3 linked regions of the Anolis sagrei genome follow. The protein of the gene in region 1 interacts with the protein of each later gene in a pairwise test. Links are inferred from orthologs where the notes say so. Each region holds a gene or a part of one and is shown in the gene's direction. Other genes may lie near its edges. The genes, in order: CASS4, ZYX and CDC42EP2.

Region 1 (7,879 bases):
GAATAATTCAGCCTTCCAGGTGTTCCTTAACTATCACTCTTAACATCCCTCACCATTGCTAGTGCTGCCTGGAGCTGCTGAGAGTTACAGCTCAACAATATCTATACACATCCACCTCTGCACTAGAGCTCCCTGGTAATTCTTAGTATCTCCTTGCCAAACTACAAATCCCACAGAGCCGAACACGTACTTTTAAAACATCATCAAATTGCTATAACTGTAGTTTAGACAAAGTCTGGAATCCTATTGGTGACATGTTGGTGCATCACATTTGGACACCATGGAATGGGATGTTCACTACCTCCTTGTGCAATCTCCAAACACACCCACAGCTTTCAAGGCCCAGGACCACTGCCATGACTGTTTACTGACTATGGGGAGGAATGGAAGGTCATGTGTTAATTTACTTTTAATGTGAATGCAATGTTTGGATTGGATTAGTTAAAGCTTTTTAACTCTTAGTGCTGCATGTATATAGTTTTAGATATTTAGTTTCAACTTATATTGTAGAGTACTATAGGTCTCATATTGGGAGAAAGGAGAGATACAGTACATATAATACAACACAACACACAATTCCTGTCAAACCTGCTGTTTTGTAGCTGGGGAAAGACACATGAGGTGAGATTCCTGGATTTCCAGCAAACTTCTCCAGATTGCAGTCTGCCTCTTCCCTCTCTCCCAGTAAACAGCTGTGACATTGACCCTAAGAATCAAAGAGTTGGAAGATATCCAATGCAATCCCCTGCCATAACCTGTGCTCCACTCACAACCACAAGCTCCATGGTTTTATATTATCCTCAGAATGAGAGACAATAAGGCTAGTTGCATGTCAACATGAGTCTGTTTTTGTATTTTCCCTTACATCATGCTTGTTGGTTTCTCTTATTTCCCAGAGGCATCTGGTTGACCTCTGTGGGAAGTGGGAACAGTGTGCTGGACTTGATAGACCTTTGGTCTGATCAAGAAGGGATCTTCTTTGTTTTAGGCTATCTTTACTTGGTAGTTTATATTCAGCTGGACTTTCTTCTGCAGAAACAGTTGTGCCTTAAGATTAGTAAAGAAAGGCAAAATGTTAAATAAGGACAGTTCTTTGCTGTTCAGTTAGGCCTTCATGCTGAAAATTTAATTTGTTCTTGTATGTTTTCAAGTTGATTCTAAAATGTGGCAATCATATTGTAGAGCCTTCTTGGCACGATTTGTTCAGTGGTGGTTGGTTATTGCTTTATTCTGAGACTGAGAGAGTGCGACTTGCTCAAGGTGATCCCATAGATTTCCATGGCTGAATAGGAATACAAAACCTGGTCTCTCAAAGTCCAATACTCAAACCACTTCATCATGTTGGTTCCTAATGCCACAGTATATTAATGAAATTAATGCCAAAATAATATATTGTTGTGCTTCTTGTGTTTTATACAAATGTGTATTTTGAGCTGGTTAAAGTGATGGCAGATGTCGCACATATATCTGGAAGTAAATTCGATTGACTTGGTGAGATAGTATTAAGTATAAAAGTAGCAAAACAAATTGACAGCATAATTTATTCTCTTCCTCCAGTAGCCTTGTGCAGCCAGTGCATTGTTTTCATCTTAAATACAGAAATCCCATATTCAGGCACTCCATTGTTAACCACAGCTTAGGTTACTTTATTGGATTACACTTTCTAGAATTTCCAGGCTGTTGTAGGGATTTGGATTGGGGATTTTGGGAGATGGAGTAAGAAAACATCCAGAGTTCTGCACTAAGCCATGATACTCTCCAGGTGACTTTGGGTGAGTTCCTTTCTTCCAGTGATAACCTCTTTTGCAGGCTTGTTATTAGGATACAAACATGATTCCAAATGTGACTGAGAAATATATTTAAATCTCGACCTAACCCTTGATCTATGTCCAGATCCAGACCCGTAGCCAGAAAAAAAAATTTCGGAAGGGGTTGAAACTTTTTCTCCTGAGATGACATTTCAGGCCAGTGTCTCCTGATCTGGCATGAGATCTCAGCAAGGCCCTGAAATGATCCTCATTGTGCAAAGGTTCTTCACCGGTAATTGGTCCTGAATCATTGCTCCCTCTTTAAGTTGGTTCTTGTTGACCACAAAGGACAATAGTTTCCACAATTGGCAGAAGTTGCTTTGTTTTCTTCTGCTTTCTTCTTATTTCCTTTCTTATCCAAACATTTTCCACTGTGAATTAGCAAGAAGTTTTCAGCCAAGCACAAGTTGTTCTGATGGCACTTTGTTTGTTGGTGTCCATTGAAAACTTCTATTGCAATTTCCCATCACACAAATGGTTTAGCAACCAATGCAACAAGCTACTGATGAACACCTTTACCCCAACTTCTCCTCCAAACACCACACAGAGCTTACAGAGAGCACCTTGTACATGAAATGACTAGGCTAACCAGAGAAATCTGCGGAACTATTTGAGTTGAAATCTTAAGTGCCTCTTCTTATCCACAGGAAATACATATCCTGGCAATGGAATCTCTGGATTTTGCACTAACTGAACTTTGACTTTGTCATCAGGAACAGTCTTGTTCATATAAAGTCAAATGGCATGGGTTCTTCTCTTTGCTCCTGTTCCATTGTTTCTTTGGCACGGCTTGGATTAGATCAGTGGTTCTAATCTTGTGGGCCACAGCCCAGCAGTGGGCCGTGTGAACAAAAATCCGGTCTGTGAACCTCCTTCCTGCTATTTATTTTATTTTATTTTATTTTATTTCTGCTCCTTTCCTCAGAGATGACCAGCCTCACCTCTTTTGGTACTAATGTTGGAGAGTGGTCCATGGTCAAAGTGGTCCCTGTTCAAATGGTCCCTGTTCAAGTGGTCCCTAGTCAAAGTGGTCCCTGTTCAAATGGTCCGTGTTCAAGTGGTCCCTAGTCAAAGTGGTCCCTGTTCAAATAGTCCCTGTTCAAATGGTCCCTGTCCAAGTAGTTCCTGGTCAAAGTGGTCCCTGTTCAAGTGGTCCATGGTCAAATTGGTCCCCGGTCAAGTGGTCCCTGCTTAAAGTGGTCCCTCGTCAAAAAAAGGTTGGAAACCCTGGATTAGATGAACTAGTGGGAGACACCTCCATTTCCACAGTTTTCACCCGCAATCCAGATCAAATCGCTCCCTGCCTTAGGCTTTGCCTGCCAGTTGTGGGTAAACCAATTTTGTTGCTTCCACTATGTCAGCTATTGCTGCTATTGCAATGTAAATAGGTAAAAAGGTATGCAATGAAAGTGTGAATAATCAAAAATTGAGATAATGCTTGTAGTTCTGGAAGACTCTAATTTTTGCTTCTCATATACTTGGCATGGGGATTTGGTTAACCGGTTCAAATTCAGGAGTAAACATGGTAGCTGTCCCCACTCCCTCCCCTAAAAATTTTCAGGGGTTGTTTTGAACCTGTAAACCGCCCCCTTGGCTACGGACTTGCCCAGATCTCAACATTTTTTTCTGTTTATTCAGCTCCTTTTTTTTAAAAAAAAATCTTTTTTGGCAAAAGCAATGCTTGTTTTTTGCAAACCCAACAGCCAGCCAGCAGTTCACTCTCTCTTCCAGCATATTCTATTCTATTCTCCTTCCTCTGTATTAATTCTATGCCTTTCCAGGGAGGAGCTTTTCTCTAGATATTTTTTTTATGGTGCAAACCCTGGAGTTTCTCAAAGGGCCCTTCTACACAGCCCTATATCCCAGAATATCGAGGCAGAAAATCCCACATTATCTGCTTTGAACTGGAATATATGGCAGTGTGGACTCAGATAACCCAGTTCAAAGCATATATTGTATGATTTTCTGCCTTGTTATTATTGGATATAGGGCTGTGTGGAAGGACCCCAAGTTTGCTCTTGTATCTCATTTTGTACATTGGTAACTGTCTTTTCTTTAAATAAAGACCCACTTAAGATGAATGTGTCTGAGACCCATTCATACATTCAAACCTCTCTCAATACCTAACACTATGTAACAAAATTTGGGGGAAAAATCTGTTCCTGGTTTGAATGTATTATTTCCCATTTAATTGTGCAGTACTTATTTTGAAAATAGTTGTTATATTCCAGAATCTTCATTTTTATGGCTGCCCAAACTATGTTGAATTGGTAGAGACTCGATGAGATGTTCATTGAAAAACTATAGCAAAATGTGCTGCAGGCTGTCCCGCAAAAACAAATACTTTACAGTTTAATAAACCTTTTCCATGTTTTTATGATAGAACCAATCAGAAAATGACATTTATAACCCAGGGACAAAAATCGTGTTTCATAGTGTAATAAGAGTAAGGTCTATTTTACACAAAGGTGGTGGAGGAAGGGGAGAGGGGTTGGAGACAAAAGAGAAAAGCAATGCGTAAACAAATCCCAGGAGGATCCACCCAAACCAGAGAATGTTAAAAAGTGATTAAGCAGCCAGGACCAGATGGTCAATTTGAATAGCCAGCCCCCAGTGAAAGTATTTCATTTTCATGGCTCTCTTCTGCTTTGTTCTGTCCGATCCACCCTCTGTGCCACCCTCACCCTTAAAAAGATATAATTCCTAAGACTTTGTTTCGGGTAATTTGAGATGGAATCACTGAAGCAAGGCCAGGTAGTTAAAATTCAAGATGATAACAATGCTGAGACTTTAGAATAATTAAAATTCAGCGTATCAGGAGCCAAATTGAAGAGTAAAGCAGTAATGAAAAAAATTAAAATCCCATAGTAGAATAAGAAAACCTTTGCACTACATTTGTTTTATGAGGTTTTCTTTGTATTATATGTCATTGTTGTTTTTAAAGAATTATCTCTCTCTTTCCCCCAATGACTTTTTTATCTGCCCAATCCTCATCTTCCCTTTGATCCTGGGGATGCTAAATATTCAGAACCTCATTTGCATGGGGATCTCTCCAGGCCAATTGCAACACAGGAGAAAAGAACTGTGCAATGAAGTTCCTTCCTCTCTCAAATTCACTCTGAAATTACTCCACCGTCTTTGGGCAGCGAATTAGGCGAAGGAGGTTTTGCAAGCAATTTGACACAAGAGGATTTCTGCTGTTTGGTTGCTAGTCCTGATTTAGTTCAAGGAGGCAAGCCAGATACCTTTTTAATGCCAGCGTGCCTTAATGGACCAGGAAAGGCTTTAAGAGAAAGTGGCAAAATGAAAGTGAACGTGAGTAGCAAACTTTGCTTGTTGCAATTGCATATTGAAGGGTTTGTGTAGATTTGATTTTACAGATTTATCTACTGTGTACAGCTATTGATAATAGACAAGCTGCAACTTTATAAGGAGAGAGCTTTTTGCATTTGGATTGTTGTCTTTCTAAAGATATCCTGAAAACAATAGCTCCCATCTGATTTTTGAAAGCTAAGCAGGGACAGCCCTGGCTAATACATGGATGTGACAACATTGAACATCTGTTCAATGTTCAATAAAATGTTCAATGCATACTGTGTGTGTGTATGTATTTATATATATGTCTGTTGACATATGACATCCTGATAAATTTTCAAAGCATTTTCTAAGGAGAACAATACTCAGTTCCTTCTTCTGAAATACAGCCTACAACAGTATTTGTTGGTGGTGTCCCATCCATGAATTAGCCAATTGGCAACAGAATGTTCAATGTGTCGTCAAAGGCTTTTCTTTTGCCAGAATCACTGAGTTACTGTGAGTTTTCCAGGTTTTATGGCCATGGGTTTTTTCGGGCTATATGGCCATGGTCTAGAGGCATTCTCTCCTGCTGTTTCGCCTGCATCTATGGCAAGCATCCTCAGAGGTACCTCACTACCTCTGAGGATGCTTGCCATAGATACAGGCAAAACGTCAGGAGAGAATGCCTCTACATGGCCATACAGCCCGGAAAGAACCTACAAAAACCCAGTGATTCCGGCCTTGAAAGCCTTCGAAAATACATTTTATGGCCATGTTGCAGAAGCACTCTCTCCTGACATTTCACCCACATCTATGACAGGCATCCTCAGAGGTTGTGAGGTCAGTTGGAAACCAGGCAAATGGAGTTTATATATATCTGTGCAATGTCTGTTCACACTTTCCTCAAACAGACAAAAGTTATTTCTCCCACCGGGGACATTCCACAGATCTATAAACCCCACTTGCCTAGTTTCCAACATACCTCACAACCTCTGAGGATGCCTGCCATACATGTGGGTGAAACGTCAGGAGAGAATGCTTCTAGAACATGGCCATACAGCCTGGAAAACTCACAGCAACCAATTAAATAGAATGTTTTATTTTGCTAGTTTGAAAGAAAAAGCTGCCCAGATAATAGTTTTGATGGATGGCCATATCTATTTTTGACATGCAACAACAACAATAACAGTGATAATAGTAGTATAGAAATAATATAAGCAACTCTAGAAATAATATATAATGTATAGAATATAATAGAAATAGTATAAGCAACATCCTCACTTAGATGTTAGACTCACTGATTGCAGTGTGCTTGCTTCTGAGTAGCTATATGTAAAGATGCACTTTTCGGGGATGCAAAATGTTCCCCAAATAGGTATTACTACTATTTTTAAGTTAGCTTTTTCATTAATAAATTAAAAATCTCATTATACATGTCTTCTGTCATCTTCTGCCCTATAGTCGATCTATGAAAAAGATAACTATAAAGGAAGGAACGTGGGTTTTGGTGTTGAGGAAGCGAGAGATAAAACACAGTTTTATTAACTTGTAAAAATATTGCATGCACAACATTTCATATCAGTTTTAATCTGATAGTCTTATAGATAAGTTGGAACTGATTATTTCTCGGCAAAAGACTTGCTAATTGTGACAATCACATGCATGTGTTGTCCCTAGTTTTGCGAGGGGGGGGGGAGCAAAATGTTAATGGGAGCCAGGATGGTGTGGTTTGGGCGTTTGGAGACCAGGGTTCAAGTCCCTAATTAGCCATAGAGACCTCCCATGAGACCATACAATGAGTTGGAAGAGACCTCATGGGCCATCCAGTCCAACCCCCTGCCACGAAGCAGGAAATTGCATTCAAAGCACTCCTGACAGATGGCCATCCAGCCTCTGCTTAAAAGCCTTCACAGAAGGAGCCTCCACCACACTCTGGAGCAGAGAGTTTCACTGCTGAACAGCACTCACAGTCAGGAAGTTTTTCCTAATGCTCAGGTGGAATCTCCTTTCCTGTAGTTTGAAGCCATTGTTCTGCATCCTAGTCTCAAAGGCAGCAGAAAACAAGCTTGCTCCCTCCTCCCTGTGACTCCCCTTCACATACATGGCCATCATGTCTCCTCTCAGCCTTCTCTTCTTCATGCCAAACATGCCCAGCTCTTTAAGTTGCTCCTTATAGGGCTTTTTCTCCAGACCCTTGATCATTTTAGTCACCCTCCTCTGGCCCCATATAGCCCATTGATTCCTTAACATTGAGCTATGGCAGTTTAAATGGGATCACCTGGAATACTTCTGCAATGTAGACACATGCTGAGATGTGCCTGCATATTTCAGTTCAAATTAGACTGGTACAGATTCTATGTTTTGGTTCAGTGGAATTAACATAAGCAAGCATTCAGGACTATTTAATGCTGTGGTTGCCTCATACCTGCTATTCTTTTCCTTTTCTTTGAAATCCTTTAAAATCAGTGTGCCAATCTGCCATAATATTGTCAAAATAAACTAACATAGTTTAGGAGGCTATTTCAAATGAATTTATCTGGGAGTATCAGTCCTATCTCAGCAGTGACTCAATATTTGTTCAAGGTGAACAACTTCAATCGCCATAGTTCTGTCATCTTTGGAGGAGTAACCCTGTTGCACCAAAAAACAACAGAGTTTTCTGGCATCTTAATGACTGAAAATATTTACAATAGTATAGGTGTCTGTAGATTACATATCCCACATCGTCAGATACAGATGTCTCATCTTTGATGACTAGAACCAATTATTAACTC
Region 2 (7,372 bases), on another chromosome or scaffold:
TAAGGTTCCATTCTATCCCCCATGCTTTTTAATATCTACATGAAACCACTGGGTGAGGTCATCTGGAGTTTTGGAGTTGGGTACTATCTGTACGCAGATGACACCCAACTCTACTACTCATTTCCACCAAACTCCAAGGAAGCCTCCCAGACCCTGAACCAGTGTCTGACTGCTGTGATGGACTGGATGAGGGCTAACAGGTTGAAGCTTAATCCAGACAAGACAGAGGTCCTCCTGGTCAGTCGTGGGGCCGACCGGGGTATTGGGTGGCAACCTGTGCTCGACGGGGTTACACTCCCCCTGAAGGCGCAGGTCCATAGCTTGGGGGTCCTCCTGGACTCAATGCTGTCACTTGATGCTCAGGTGTCTGTGGTGGCCGGGAGGGCCTTTGGACAACTCAAACTTGTGCGCCAGCTGCAACCATACCTCGTGAAGTCTGACTTGGCCAGGGTGGTCCACACCTTGGTTACATCCAGATTGGACTATTGCAATGTGCTCTACATGGGGCTGCCCTTGAAGATGGCCTGGAAGCTCCAATTGGTACGACGGGCGGCAGCCAGGCTCCTTACTGGAGCAAACTGTAGGGAGCATACAACACCCCTTTTAAAACAACTTCATTGGCTGCCGATAAGTTGCCAAGCCAAATTCAAGGTGCAGGTTATGACCTATAAAGCCCTAAATGGTTTGAGCCCCGCCTTGTTCCATATTTCTTACAAGGACTATGTAAGTTTGTTGCACTGTTTGTTTTTGTTTGCAACACTGCAAGTTTATCTTTTAACTCTGCTGATAAGAGTAAATTTTTTCTGTTCTTTTTCCTCTTGCCTGGGTACAATGTTATTATGTCTTCTGCATTAGACCTGAGTGAAACACGCTATGCGCAACATCATTGTATATCTTGCATGTGTGGCAGTGACGTGCTGATGTGGGAATATCCCTGTCATGAGTTAGTTGTGTGTCTTCACATGTTGTGGGGTGGATCAGGCATCGTTACTTTCTCAGTCCATAACTGGGGGAATGGAAAACACGCCAATGTTTCCATATTTGTGTTTTCTGGTTGTGTTGTCATTTCCTCCTCACTTCCTGGCACAGACATGAATAGGCATTTTAGCAACTGCTTCACCAATCTAGATTGTCCACAATGTACATAGTGGAATGTCCTGCTTATCTTTTCTACTAGCTCAAATATTGCAAAAGCAACCAAGTCAGGAACAAGCAGACCTATGGATCGATTGGGATCAAATGATTATTTCTCCATGAAGTTTTTTGTGGAAAGGGGAAGAGCTGTGACCTGTACATAAAATAAGAGATCAAGAATGTGAAAGTTTCCTTGCTATAGGAACACTGCAAGCAACTGAATTTTCTTTTCTTTCACACCCGCACCCCCAATCTCGTGAATGGTGCCATTCCCATTCCATTGTTGCTTGAGTTTGCCAAGCTAACAGAGAAAACAAGCCTATTTGGGGTCATGCTGAGTGTGGTGGTTTTGTCTGTGGAAAAGAGAGAAAAAAGCCATTCCTCTCAAAGTTTCGACAGGAAATTCTGAGTCAGATAATCTCCCCGCTGGTTGAGGCAGGCAGGCAGGCAAGGAGTGGGGGTGGTGGGTGGAGGAGAGGTTGAGGCCGACCCTGACTCATCCTGCGCGGCCCCTTGGCTGAACTGGGGCTCCAAAGGAAATGAAATCACTCGGAGGGGGAGGGAAAGGGGGCCCTGGAGGGTCCTGAGGAATGCAGCAAACCAATGCAAGGTTTCCTTTTTTCCATGAAGGTGGTTTGTGGGGGAAGGGAGAAGGAGAGGGGATCAGCAGAAGTATGATGAAAACTCTAAACTGCAGGGTCTTGGGCTGAGGGGGAGAAGGAGGTCATGTGTGTGTGTGTGTGTGTGTAGGGGGGCACAGAGAGATTTTAAAAGCCAAGATGGGTGGTGAGGGATTTGGGGAGGGGGATTAAGGGAAGAATTGTTAACTGGCTTGCTCTCCCACTTCTTTTGGTCTCAAACATCTTAACTTTCTTCCCTGTCGAGACTTCACCCTCAGGAAGCTTGAGAGGCGAGGACCTGACCAGGAGTGCTTTTGCTCAGTTAAAATTACTATGTCAACTGTGCCCATTGCTGGAGAAGACAGATCTGGCCTCAGTGGTGCATGCCATGGTTACATCCCAGTTGGACTATTGTAATGCACTCTGTGTGGGACTGCCTTCAAAAAGGGCGCAGAAACTCCAGTTGGTCCAATGAGTAGTTGCCAGACTGCTAACCAGGGCTGACTACAGGAAGCACCCAATCTCACTGTTGCAACAGCTCCAGATCCAATTCAAAGTGCTAGTTTTGACTTAGGCCCCTTCTACACTGCCCTGTATTTCAGAATTTGATCCCAGATTATCTGATTATCTTAAATTAACTGGCAGTATAGACTGCCAGATAATCATATCCTAGTATATAGGGCAGTGTAGAAGGGGCCCTATGAAGCCCTATATGGCTTTTTTCATGTCAGGAGCAACTGCTATATGGCTAAAGTCCAGCTTATCTGATGGAATGTATCTCTTTCTATGAACCTGGTAGACATCTACAATCAACTAGGGAGGACCTTATCTCTGTCCCACCACCCGTTCAAGTGCATGTGGTGGGAATAAGGAAGAGGACCTTTTAGGTGGCTGCTCCCAGTCCATACTCCAGGAGATAAAACCCATTCTGAGGGTTCTTCCACACAGCCCTATATCCCAGAATATCAAGGCAGGAAGTCCCACAATATCTACTTTGAACTAGGTTGTGAGTCCAGATAATGTGGGATTTTCTGCCTTGATATTCTGGGATTCAGGGCTGTGTGGAAGGGCCCTGGGTTATATTTATTTATTTACGATATTTATAGACCGCCTTTCTCAGCCATATGGCAACTCAAGGCAGGTTACAGGTTGGCACAATTCGATGTTAGGCATTAATAAAAGTGCCATTAAAAACAATCAACATTATATGGCTGTGTAGTTGTCAAGAGTGGTTCAGAAATGTTGCTGTTCATTCATTCAGTTGCTTCCGACCCTTTGTGACCTCATGGACCAGCCCACGCCAGAGCTCCCTGTCGGCTGTCACCACCTCCAACTCCTTCAAGATCAAGCCAGTCACTTCAAGGATGTCATCCATCAATCTTGCCCTTGGCAGCCCCTCTTCCTTTTTCCTTCCATTTTCCCCAGCATCATTGTCTTCTCTCTGCTTTCCTGTCTTCTCATGATGTGGCCAAAGTATTTCATCTTTGTCTCTACTATCCTTCCCCCTAATGAGCAGTCGGGCTTTATTTCATGAAGTATAGACTGGTTGGATCTTCTCGCGGTCCAAGGCACTCTCAGCACTTTCCTCCAACACCACAGTTCAAAAGCGTCTATCTTCCTTCGCTCAGCCTTCCCTATGGTCCAGCTCTCACATCCGTAGGTGACCAAGGGGAATACCATTGCTTTAAATATGCGGATCTTTGTTGCCAGTGTGATGTCTCTACTCTTGACTGTTTCATCGAGATTGGACATTGCTCTCCTCCCAAGAAGTAAGTGCTTCCTGATTTCCTGGCTGCAGTCTGCATCTGCAGTAATCTTTGCTCCTAGAAATACAAAGTCTGTCACTGCCTCCACGTTTTCTCCCTCTATTTGCCAGTTATCAATCAGTCTTGCTGACATAATCATAGTTTTTTAAATGTTTAACTGCAACCCAGCTTTTGCACTTTCACCTTGGTGAGAAGGCTTTCGGCCATCAAAGTGGTATCATCTGCATATTTAAGATTGTTAATGTTTCTTCCAGCATTTTTTACCCCAGCCTATTCAACTTGTATGCAGAACACACATGATGTGTTCTGCATACAAGTTGAATAGGTTGAGTGAGAGTATACAACCCCGCCGTACGCCTTTCCCAATCTTGAACCAGTCTGCTGTTGCAGAAATAGTTCAGAAATAGTGAGGATCTAATAAGTAACACTACAAAATCCCAAGGGTGGCCTTCAAGGAAAGGAAGGGGGGTGTCTGTGTGTGTGTGTATGAGAAGAGACACCCCTTTTTTGAGGAGGAGGCAAAGAGGAAGCTGTCTCCCCCCCCCCTCTTCCTTCTCCTCTTCTTCCTCCTCCTTCTCCTCCTCTTCTTTCTTGCCTTCCCTCCTTTTTTCGCAACCTCTGCCTCCCCGGTTTGCCACATTCCCGGAGGAGTGAGCTCAGCTGTTGGGTCGGCGCGGCCTCTCTCCTTTTATGGTCAAAGCGCGGCTGGGGCCGGGCGAGGCTCCCCTCCGCCGAGCGAGGGAGAAAGTGAGGAGTTCTGGGGACCCTCCTCCTCCTCCTTTTCCCTCCTCCTCCTCCTCCTCCTGAGGGCCGCCCCTTCCCGAACTTCCTCTCAGCCCCGCCGCCGGGCAGCGCTTGGGAAAGTCGCGCGCCGGAGTGTGAGGGCTGGCACTGCCTGGCCGCGAGACCCTTCCAAGCACTCTCTCTCCTCCTCAGGCGCACAGGCGCGCGCAAAGCCCTCCTCTTGGGACCACCGTCTTCAAGGTAAGCCAGGCTGCGCTTCGCCTCATACTTCGGGGGTTCCGGGGCTGAAAAGGCGAGGGGGCCGGGCTGTTCTCCTCTTCCTCTGTCCCGTCCCTCCGAAGGCGCCTTTTCCTCCAAAGTCTTCTTCCTTGAGCGCGCTTTCGTGCTGAGAGGAAGGGCTTAAGCGAGGCTACTCCATGCACGCGCCACACCAGGCACTCTCCAAACTCCAGCTGTGCGCCTCCAACTCCCAGAAGCCCTCGCCGGCTTGTTGAATGGTCAGGCATTCTGGGAGTTGGAGGCCCAAGCAGCTGGACAGCCTGAGTTTCAGGACCCTTACACACAGCCCTATAACCCAGAATATCAAGGCAGAAAATACCACAATATCTGCTTTGAGCTGAGTTATCTGAGTCCACACCCAGACAATGTGGGGTTTCCTGCCTTGATATTCTGGGATATAGGGCTGTGTGGAAGGGCCCTCCCAGGCAACCCTATAACCTAGAATATCAAGGCAGAAAATCCCACAATATCACTTTGAACTGGGTTATCTGAGTCCACATTTGGAAAAAAGGGATTTTCTGCCTTGATATTCTGGGATATAGGGCTGTGTAGAAGGGCCCTCCCAGGCAGCCCTATAACCCAGAATATCAAGGCAGAAAATACTACAATATCTGCTTTGAACTGGGTTATCTGAGTCCACATTTAGAAAAAAAGGTATTTTCTGCCTTGATATTCTGGGATATAGGTCTGTGTGGAAGGGCCCTCCCAGGCAGCCCTATAGCCCAGAATATCAAGGCAGAAAATCCCACAATATCCACTCTGAACTGGGACTCCTTTTACACAGCTGAATAAAATCCCACATTACCTGCTTTGGACTGGGATATATGACAGTATGGACTAAGGCAGTGTTTCTCAACCTGTGGGTCCCCAGGTGTTTTGGCGTACAACTCCCAGAAATCCCAGCCAGTTTACCACCTGTTAGGATTTCTGGGAGTTGAAGGCCAAAACATCTGGGGACCCACAGGTTGAGAACCACTGGACTAAGGGCTCTTCCACACAGCTGTATCAAGGCAGAAAAACACACAATATCTCCTTTGTACTTGAGTTATCTGAGTCCACACTGCCACATATCCCAGTTCAAAGCAAATAATGTGGAATCTTATTCAGCTGTGTGGATGGGGCCTTAGATAACCCTGTTCAAAGCAGATATTGTTGGATTTTCTGCCTTGATATTCTGGGTTATATGGCTGTGTGGAAGGGCTCTAAGTTATCCAAGGGCACTTCCAGGCAAGCCCTACATCCCAGGATCTGATCGCAGGTTTTCTGCATTAGACTGCATTATATGAGTGTGCACTGCCAGATAATCTGGGATAAAGAGAAAAACTGGGATCAGATCCTGGGATATAGGGCCTCTCTGGAAGGGCCCTAAAGCACCACACAGTTGAATAAAATCCAATGTTATTTGCTTTGAACTGGAATATATGACAATGTGGACTCTAATAACCCAGTTCAAAGCATATATTGTGGGTTATTCTGTCTTGATATTCTGGATTATATGGCTGTGTGGAAGGGCTCTGAGTTCACGCTGCCATATATTCCAGTTCAAAGAAGATAATGTGGGATTTTATTCAGCTGTGTGGAAGGGGCCTCAGGATGCCTGTTTCTTCCTTGCCAGACATATCCTCCCCTCCTCCTCCTCAAGGGAAATACCTCCAACCTCAAGTCTCCTCCTTTCTCTTGTAAAAGCTTGGCAGCTGGTGAAAGTTGAGAGGCGGGGACTGTTGCAAGCTTTTAACTCAAAGGGCCCTTCCACACAGCCGTGTAACCCAGGATATCAAGGCAGATAATTGACAATATCTGCTTTGAATTGGTTTATCTGAATCCACATTGCCATATAATTCCATTCAATGTGGATTTTATACAGTGGTGTGTAACAGGCAGGTATCTCCTTCTCTCTCTCTCTGAGGCCCTCTCCTGAGCCATTTTTCCAGATGTATAGATAGACTTGGGTAAGGAGAAGGACTCCCCCCCCCCCCATTCCTGCGGGTGGCCTTCCTCCTGGAGAGTGCGCTTACTTCTTCCTTTTACTTTCTTGATTTAAGGCCTGTGGGTGTGAAGGGCTTGTGACTGTAGGCCTTCCTTTCACTTCTCTTCTCTGCAGGTATATCTTTGCCAAGGTACTTTTTTCTTTCTTTTCTGACTTGGCCAACAGAGCATCCCACCAGATTATACTATGTAACAAAATCTGAAAAACATTATGTTCCCAGGTTGAAAGTGTTATTTTTTTGTTTTATTGTGTCTGATGTACTTTGAAAGTAGGGCCCTTCCACACAGCCCTATTTCCCAGAATATCAAGGCAGAAAATCCCACATTATCTGAGTGTGGACTTAGATAACCCAGTTCAAAGCAGATATTGTGGGATTTTCTGCCTTGATATTCTGGGATATAGGGCTGTGTTGAAGGGCCCATAGTTGTTCTACTCCAGAAACTTTGTTTTTGTGGCTGCCAGAAACTATGTTGAATTGGTTGAGACTCGATGAGATATTCATTGAAAAACTATCATAAAATGTGCTGCAGCAGGATGTCTCACCAAAACAAAGTTTTTGAAGCTAATAAACTTTTCTCATGTTTTTATGATAGAACGAATTAGGAAATAACATTTATAACTCTGGAACAAAAATTGTGTTACATAGTGTTATTGCAACACCAGATGTCCCCTCAAGGGATCCACTCAAAGTTTACTTCATGAATTAGATGTTGGCCAGGCATTTCTACAAAACTTCAGAAGTAGGACATGAAGTGCTTTGTGTGCCTTCAGACCATTTTTGTCTTATGGTGACCCTATGGTAAATTGATCATTGTGTTTTCTTGGGAAGATTTGTTCAGAGG
Region 3 (7,962 bases), on another chromosome or scaffold:
CTTCCTTTCCTTCTTTTTGCTTCCTTCCTTCCTTTCTTCTTTTTCCTTCCTCTTCCCTCCCCCCTCCTTCCTTTCTTTTCCCTTCCTTCTTCCTTTCCTTACTTTTGCTGAGAAGGAAATAAATAGAGAAGGAGGGAGAGAACGGAAAAAAGGAGGGGAAAGAAAGAAGGAAAGAAAAAAGAGGAGAGAAGGAGGGAGAGAAAGAAGGAGGGAAGGAAAGAAGGAAGCAAAGAAAGAAGGGTAGAGAAGGAAGGAAGGACAGGAAGAGGGAGAGAAGAAAGAGAGGAGGGAAGGAGAAAAGGTAGGAAAGAAAGGTAGAGAAGGGAGAGAAGAGAAAGGAGGGAAGGAGAGAAGAAAGGAAAGAAAGAAGGATAGAGAAGAAGTAGAGAGGGAGGGAGAGAAAGAAGGAGGGAAGGGGAGAAGGAAGGAAAGAAGCATAGAGAAGGAAGTAAGTAGAGAAGGAAGGAGAGAAAGAAGGAAGGAAAGAAAGAAGGATAGAGAAGGAAGTAGAGAAGGAGGGAGAGAAAGAGGGAAAGAAGGAGGGAAGGAAAGGTAGAGAAGGAAGGAAGGAGAGAAGGAAATAAAAAAGTGAAAGAGGGAAGGAAGGAGAGAAGGAATGAAAGAAAGAGGGAAGGAAGGAAGGAAAGAGACAAGGAAGGATGGAACCAAAGAGCAAAGGAAGCAAGAAAAGAAACAGGTAGAGAAGGAAGAAAGAAGAAGGGAAAGAAAAAGGGAAGGAAGGAAAGAGGGAGGGAAGGAAGGAAGGAAGAAGAGAAAGAAAGAAGGAGAGAAAGAATGAGGGCAGGTTGGCCACAGCAAAGCGTGGTGGGTACAGCTAGTCTATATAAATAAAAACGTAATGTTTGTTGTAGTTCACCTGTATCCAGAGAGCACTGTGGACTCAAACAATGATGGATCTGGACCAAACCTGGCACAGATACTCACTATGCCCAAATGTGAACACTAGTGGAGTTTGGGGAAAATAGAGTCTTGACATTTGGGAGTTGTAGTTGCTGGGATTTATAGTTCACCTACAATCACAGAGCATTCTGAACCCCACCAACGATAGAATTGGGCCAAACCTCCCACACAGGGCCCCCATGTGGGCCACAGCAACGCATGGCAGGGGACAGCTAGTAAATAAATAATAATAATTTCCTCAACAGAAAACACTTTTTGCCCCAAGCATTTTGGATCAGAGACAGGCCACCTTCACTGGGTTGTTGTAGGTTTTTTCGGGCTATATGGCCATGGTCTAGAGGCATTCTCTCCTGACGTTTTGCCTGCATCGATGTCAAGCATCCTCAGAGGTAGTGAGATCTGTTGAAACTAGGACAAAGGGTTTATATATCTGTAGAATGACCAGGGTGGGACAAAGAACTCTTGTCTGCTGGAGCTAGGCGTGAATGTTTCAACTGACCACCTTTTTTGTTTCTCCAGGCAAATGTCTTGTCCTTGCTTTCTCCTCCTTCGCCCTTCCCTAGACAAAGATCTTTGCTTTCCAAACCCCCTCTTTGCTTCTCAAAACAGATCCCATAGATAAAACCTGACCGAAGCCTCCAAAGAAACCCTCTGGGGTTTTCTTTTTCTTCAACCGGAGTGCCTGGCGGATGATGTCGCTCTTCCCCTAAATCAGAGGAATTCCACCTTGACACATTATTAAAATTATAGGCTTGGCTGGCTGTGCTGTCAGAGGAAAATGCAGGCCAAATATGGATTTTGATTTCCTCTCCGCTTGGATCAACACAAAGGAAAGCAGGGAAAGAGGTGGGTTACATCAGATGGGCTTGCATCAGAACGAAAACATGGCTCTTAATCATGGAATCCTAGAGCTGGAAAGAAAAACCCAAAGGCCATCCAGGGCAACCCCTTTCCGTCTTTGGAATATTAGCTATCCCTCCCAATACATACATATATACACACACACATATGAATATAAATAAATAAAAATGTAATGTTCGTTTGTGGGATTAACAGAACTCAAAAACCACTAGACGAATTGACATCAAATTTGGACACAAGATACCTAACAACCCAATTTATGTCCTTCACTAAAAAAAAAAATTGATTTTGTCATTTGGGAGTTGTAGTTGCTGGGATTTATAGTTCACCTACAATCAAAGAGCATTCTGAACCCCACCAACGATGGAATTGAACCAAACTTGGCACACGGTTCTCCCATGACCAACAGAAAATACTGCAAGGGTTTGGTGCACAATGTCCTTTGGTTTTGGAGTTGTAGTTCACCTACATCCAGCGATCACTGTGGACTCAAACAATGATGGATCTGGACCAAACTACATGAATACTCAATATGCCCAAATGTAGACACTGGTGGAGTTTGGGGAAAATAGACCTTGACATTTGGGAGTTGTAATTGCTGGGATTTATAGTTCACTTTCTGAACTATCACAGAGCTTTCTGAACCCCACCAACGATGGAATTGGGCCAAACCTCCCACACAGAACCCCCATGTGGGCCACAGCAACGCGTGGCAGGGGACGGCTAGTCTATATAAATAAAAATGTAATGTTCGTTTGTGGGATTAACATAACTCAGAAACCACTGGTCGAATGGACACAAAATTTTGACACAATACACATAACAGTCCAACGAGTGTCCACCACCCCCAAAAACACCCTCCCCCAGTGGAACAGACTTTAAAACCCAAAAAATACACCATATATACATATATACATACATTCATATACATATGCACATACACAGAGGCAGCCCTAGGTAATTTTCAACGGTAAGCAAACAGTATTTTGGCGCCCCCCCCCCCCCCCCCCAACCAATCACTGATCTATATTTTCTGTTCGTCGTAGGAGTTCTCTGTGCCATATTTGGTTCAATTCCATCACTGGTGGAGTTCAGAATGCTCTTTGATTGTAGGTGAACTATACATCCCAGTAACTACAACTCGCATATGTCAAGGTCTATTTTCCCCCAAGAGTGCCTCAAGAGCGCCCCTGGGCAACATCAACTATACTGCGAGTGCTTACTTTGCGTAATGGGTGAGCTGCCCCTGCACATACACACATTCATACACATGTATATATATGCACAAGCACACACAAATATACATATGTACACACACATACATATACATGCACACACACATAGATACATATACACAGGCACACACATATATACACAAATAAACACATGCACACATACATATACACATATACACATACATACATTCATACACACACATATATATATGCGCAAGCAAACACAAATATACACATACATAAATACATATACACATGCTCACATATATATGCATATACATACATGTATACATTCATACACATATATATATGCACAAGCACACACAAATATACACACATATATATACATATACACATGCTCACATATATATATATACATATACATACATGTATACATTCATACACATATATATATGCACAAGCACACACAAATATACACACACATATATACATATACACATGCTCACATATATATACATATACATAAATACATTCATACACACACGTATATATATGCACAAGCACACACAAATATACACACATACATACATATATGGTCAATAAAAGTATAATATATTAAATATAAACACACAATATATATATATAGTAATGAATGTTTTATACATACACATTTTCACTTTTATTACGTGTATATATTAAATATAAACACTCAATATATATTATATTATTATACAGATATATAGTAACTAATGTTCTATATCATGTATAATAAATGTAAACGCATTATATATTATATTATGCAGATATATAGTAATGTTATATATCTTATAAGCATAATATAATAAATATGAATATATAATAATATGTAATATGAAAATATAATAATGAATATATAATTATATAAAATAATATATAGTAAAAATTATGCATATATAGTCAATAAAAGTATAATATATTAAATATAAAAACTCAAAATATATTATATTATATTATAATAAATCTCAAAATATATTATATTATTATACAGATATTATATTATTATACAGATATATATTATATTATTATGCATATAGTAATGTTATATATCTTATAAGCATAACATAATAAATATGAATATATAATAATATATAATATGAAAATATAATAATGAATATATAATTATATAAAATAATATATAGTAATGAATTATGCATATATAGTCAATAAAAGTATAATATATTAATATATATATAAATATGAATATATAATAATATATAATATGAAAATATAATAATGAATATAAAATAATATATAGTAACAAATTATGCATATATAGTCAATAAAAGTATAATTTATTAAATATAAAAACTCAAAATATATTATATTATATTATAATAAATCTCAAAATATATTATTATACAGATATATATTATATTATTATGCAGATATATAGTAATGTTATATATCTTATAAGCATAATATAATAAATATGAATATATAATAATATATAATAGGAAAATTAATATAATATTATATTATTATAATAATATAAAACACACAATATACATATTATATTATTATATTATTACATATTATATTATTAGAATAATATAAACACACAATATACATATTATATTATTACATATTATATTATAATAATATAAACACACAATATACATATTATATTATTATACAGATATATATAGTAATACACATTTTCACTATTATTATGTCTATAGATTATTATTATTATTATTATTGTCAATATCCTTTATGGATCCCCAAAGATGGGTCCAAAGACAAGAGGATTCAATAGGAGTGAATCAGGGAGGTCAAGCCACAAAGCCCTTCCCTATGATGAAGCAATGTTGCAACATGCAAAACAAAAGGGGCGGGGATAGAACGCTGCCTAGCCAGCCGCGGCTTGGGATTGGTCCAGGGCTGGAGTGGGCGTGGCTTGGCGGTGGGTGGCAATCCTGGGCAGGCGGAGGGCGCGCCTTTTCTCTCTTTGGCGGCCGAAGGAAGAGGAGGAGGCGACGCCCAGGCCAGATCTGGGTGAGTATTCCCCTTGGCAAGGGCGGAGGAGGCCTTCAGGAACCCCATAGGCAGGGATGCAAAGCCTTTGTGGAGCTCCATGGGCGTGGCAAGTGTCAAGGTTTGGGGGTTTCTTAGCGTTGTGAGCCTGATATCTGCCACATGGCACTCTGGACATGCTCAGAAGCCTGGTTTGATGTTTTTAGGTCACTAAATAATAACAGTCTTTGGAAAAAGCACTTTGGACATGCTCAGGAGCCTGCTTTGCTGATTTTGGGTCTCTAAATAGGTACAATGGTTGGGAAGGAACACTTTGGACATGCTCAGAAGCCTGGTTTGCTGATTTTAGGTCACTAAATAACAATAGTCTTTGGAAAAAGCACTTTGGACATGCTCAGGAGCCTGGTTTGCTGATTTTGGGTCACTAAATAGGTACAATGGTTGGGAAGGAACACTTTGGACATGCTCAGAAGCCAGGTTTGCTGATTTTTAGGTCACTAAATAACAACAGTTTGCACTTTGGACATGCTCAGAAGCTGCTTTTTGGTCACTAAATAAGTACAGTGGTTAGGAAAGAACACTTTGGACATGCTCAGAAGCCAGGTTTGCTCATTTTAGGTCACTAAATAGCAAAAATCTTTGGAAAAGGGCACTCTGGACATGCTCAGAAGCCTGGTTTGCTGATTTTACGTCACTAAATAGCAAAAGTCTTTGGAAAAGGGCACTCTGGACATGCTCAGAAGCCTGGTTTGCTGCTTTTAGGTCACTAAATAGCAACAGTCTTTGGAAAAGGGCACTTTGGACATGCTCAGGAGCCTGCTTTGCTGATTTTAGGTCACTAAATAGGTACAATGGTTGGGAAAGAGCACTTTGGACATGCTCAGAAGCCTGCTTTGCTGATTTTGGGTCATTAAATAGGTACAATGGTTGGGAAAGAACACTTTGAACATGCTCAGAAGCCAGGTTTGCTGATTTTAGGTCACTAAATAACAACAGTTGGCACTTTGGACAAGCTCAGAAGCCTGGTTTGCTGCTTTTAGGTCACTAAATAACAATAGTCTTTGGACAAAGCACTCTGGACATGCTCAGGAGCCTGCTTTGCTGATTTTGGGTCACTAAATAGGTACAATGCTTGGTAAAGAACACTTTAGATATGCTCAGAAGCCAGGTTTGCTGATTTTAGGTCACTAAATAACAACAGTTGGCAGTCTGGACATGCTCAGAAGCCTGGTTTGCTGCTTTTAGGTCACTAAATAGCAAACATATTTGGAAAAGGGCACGCTGGACATGCTCAGAACCTGGTTTGTTGCATTTTGGTCACTCAATAGCAACTGTTTTTGAAAAAGAGCACTCTGGACATGCTCAGAAGCCTGGTTTGCTGCTTTTAGGCCACTAAATAGCAAAAGTCTTTGGAAAAGAGCACTCTGGACATGCTCAGAAGCCTGGTTTGCTGCTTTTAGGCCACTAAATAGCAAAAGTCTTTGGAAAAGGGCACTCTGGACATGCTCAGAAGCCTGGTTTGCTGCTTTTAGGCCACTAAATAGCAAAAGTCTTTGGAAAAGAGCACTCTGGACATGCTCAGAAGCATGTTTGGTGATTTTAGATCACTAAATAGCAAAAATCTTTGGAAAAGGGCAGTTTGGATATGGTCAGAAGCCTGGTTTGGTGATTTTTGGTCACTAAATAGGTATAATGGGTGGGAAAGAACACTTTGGACATGCTCAGGAGCCTGCTTCCCTGCTTTTTGGTCACTAAATAGCGACAGTCTTTGGAAAAGGGCGCATTGGACATGCTCAGAAGCCTGGTTTGCTGATTTTCGGTCACTAAATAGCGACAGTCTTTGGAAAAGTCACTTTGGACATACTCAGAAGCCTGCTTTGCTGATTTTAGGTCACTATATAGTGACAGTCGTTGGAAATGGGCACTTTAGACATGCTCAGAAACCTGGTTTCCTCCTTTGGGTCACTCAATACCAACAGTCTATGGAAAGGGGCACTTTGGACATGCTCAGAATCCTGGTGTGCTGCTTTTGGGTCACTAAATAAGTATAATGGTTGGGAAATAACACTTTGGACATGCTCAGAAGCCTGCTTTGCTGATTTTTGGTCACTCAATAGCAACAGTCTTTGGAAAAGGGCACTTTGGACATGCTCAGGAGCCCGATTTGCTGATTTTAGGACACTAAATAGTGACAATTTTTGGAAAAGGGCACTTTGGACATGCTCAGAAGCCTGGTTTCCTCCTTTGGGTCACTAAATAGCAACAGTCTGTGGAAAGGGGCACTCTGGACATGCTCAGAAGCCGGGTTTGCTGCTTTTGGGTCACTAAATAAGTATAATAGTTGGGAAATAACACTTTGGACATGCTCAGAAGCCTGGTTTGCTGCTTTTTGGTCACTAAATAGCAACAGTATTTGGAAAAAGTACTTTGGACATGCTCAAAAGCCCGCTTTGCTGATTTTAGGTCATTAAATAGCTACAATGGTTGGGAAAGAACACTTTGGACATGCTCAGAAGCCTGGTTTGCTGCTTTTTGGTCACTATATAGCGACAGCTGTTGGAAATGGGCACTTTGGATATGCTCAGACGCCTACTTCGTTGCTGTTATGTCACTAAATAGGTACAATGGTTGGGAAAGAGCACTTTGCACATGCTCAGAAGCCTGGTTTGTTGAGTTAATATCGCTAAACATTTCCAGTATTGGAAAAGAGTACTTTGTTCATGCTCAGAAGTCCATTTTGCCTCTATTATATCATTAATACATGTAATGGTTGGAAAAGATACTTTGTTATATGCTCAGAAGACACTTTTATATTGCTAAATAGTTACAAAGGTTGGAAAATTACGTTTTGTATATGTTCAGGAGCTGTTCAGTAGTGGAATATAATAATAATAAGTCCGGCAGAGTCTCCTTCCCTGGAGGTTTTGAAGCAGAGGCTGGATGGCCATCTGCCAGGAGGGCTTTAATTGTG

The links.
Region 2: the proteins of CASS4 (region 1) and ZYX interact in binary tests that used the Homo sapiens proteins (3 or more experiments, as listed by UniProt). The link is inferred for Anolis sagrei from reciprocal best matches to the Homo sapiens genes CASS4 and ZYX.
Region 3: the proteins of CASS4 (region 1) and CDC42EP2 interact in binary tests that used the Homo sapiens proteins (3 or more experiments, as listed by UniProt). The link is inferred for Anolis sagrei from reciprocal best matches to the Homo sapiens genes CASS4 and CDC42EP2.

Annotation. Positions count from the first base shown.
Region 1 is NC_090024.1:226,293,102-226,300,980, forward strand, and holds the start of CASS4 (cas scaffolding protein family member 4), read left to right. Parts: upstream 1-4,784; 5' UTR 4,785-5,060; coding exon 5,061-5,123; intron 5,124-7,879. UniProt on the Homo sapiens protein: Docking protein that plays a role in tyrosine kinase-based signaling related to cell adhesion and cell spreading. Regulates PTK2/FAK1 activity, focal adhesion integrity, and cell spreading.
Region 2 is NC_090022.1:196,437,450-196,444,821, reverse strand, and holds the start of ZYX (zyxin), read left to right. Parts: upstream 1-4,304; 5' UTR 4,305-4,504; intron 4,505-7,372. UniProt on the Homo sapiens protein: Adhesion plaque protein. Binds alpha-actinin and the CRP protein. Important for targeting TES and ENA/VASP family members to focal adhesions and for the formation of actin-rich structures.
Region 3 is NC_090032.1:10,719,535-10,727,496, reverse strand, and holds the start of CDC42EP2 (cdc42 effector protein 2), read left to right. Parts: upstream 1-4,932; 5' UTR 4,933-5,012; intron 5,013-7,962. UniProt on the Homo sapiens protein: Probably involved in the organization of the actin cytoskeleton. May act downstream of CDC42 to induce actin filament assembly leading to cell shape changes. Induces pseudopodia formation in fibroblasts in a CDC42-dependent manner.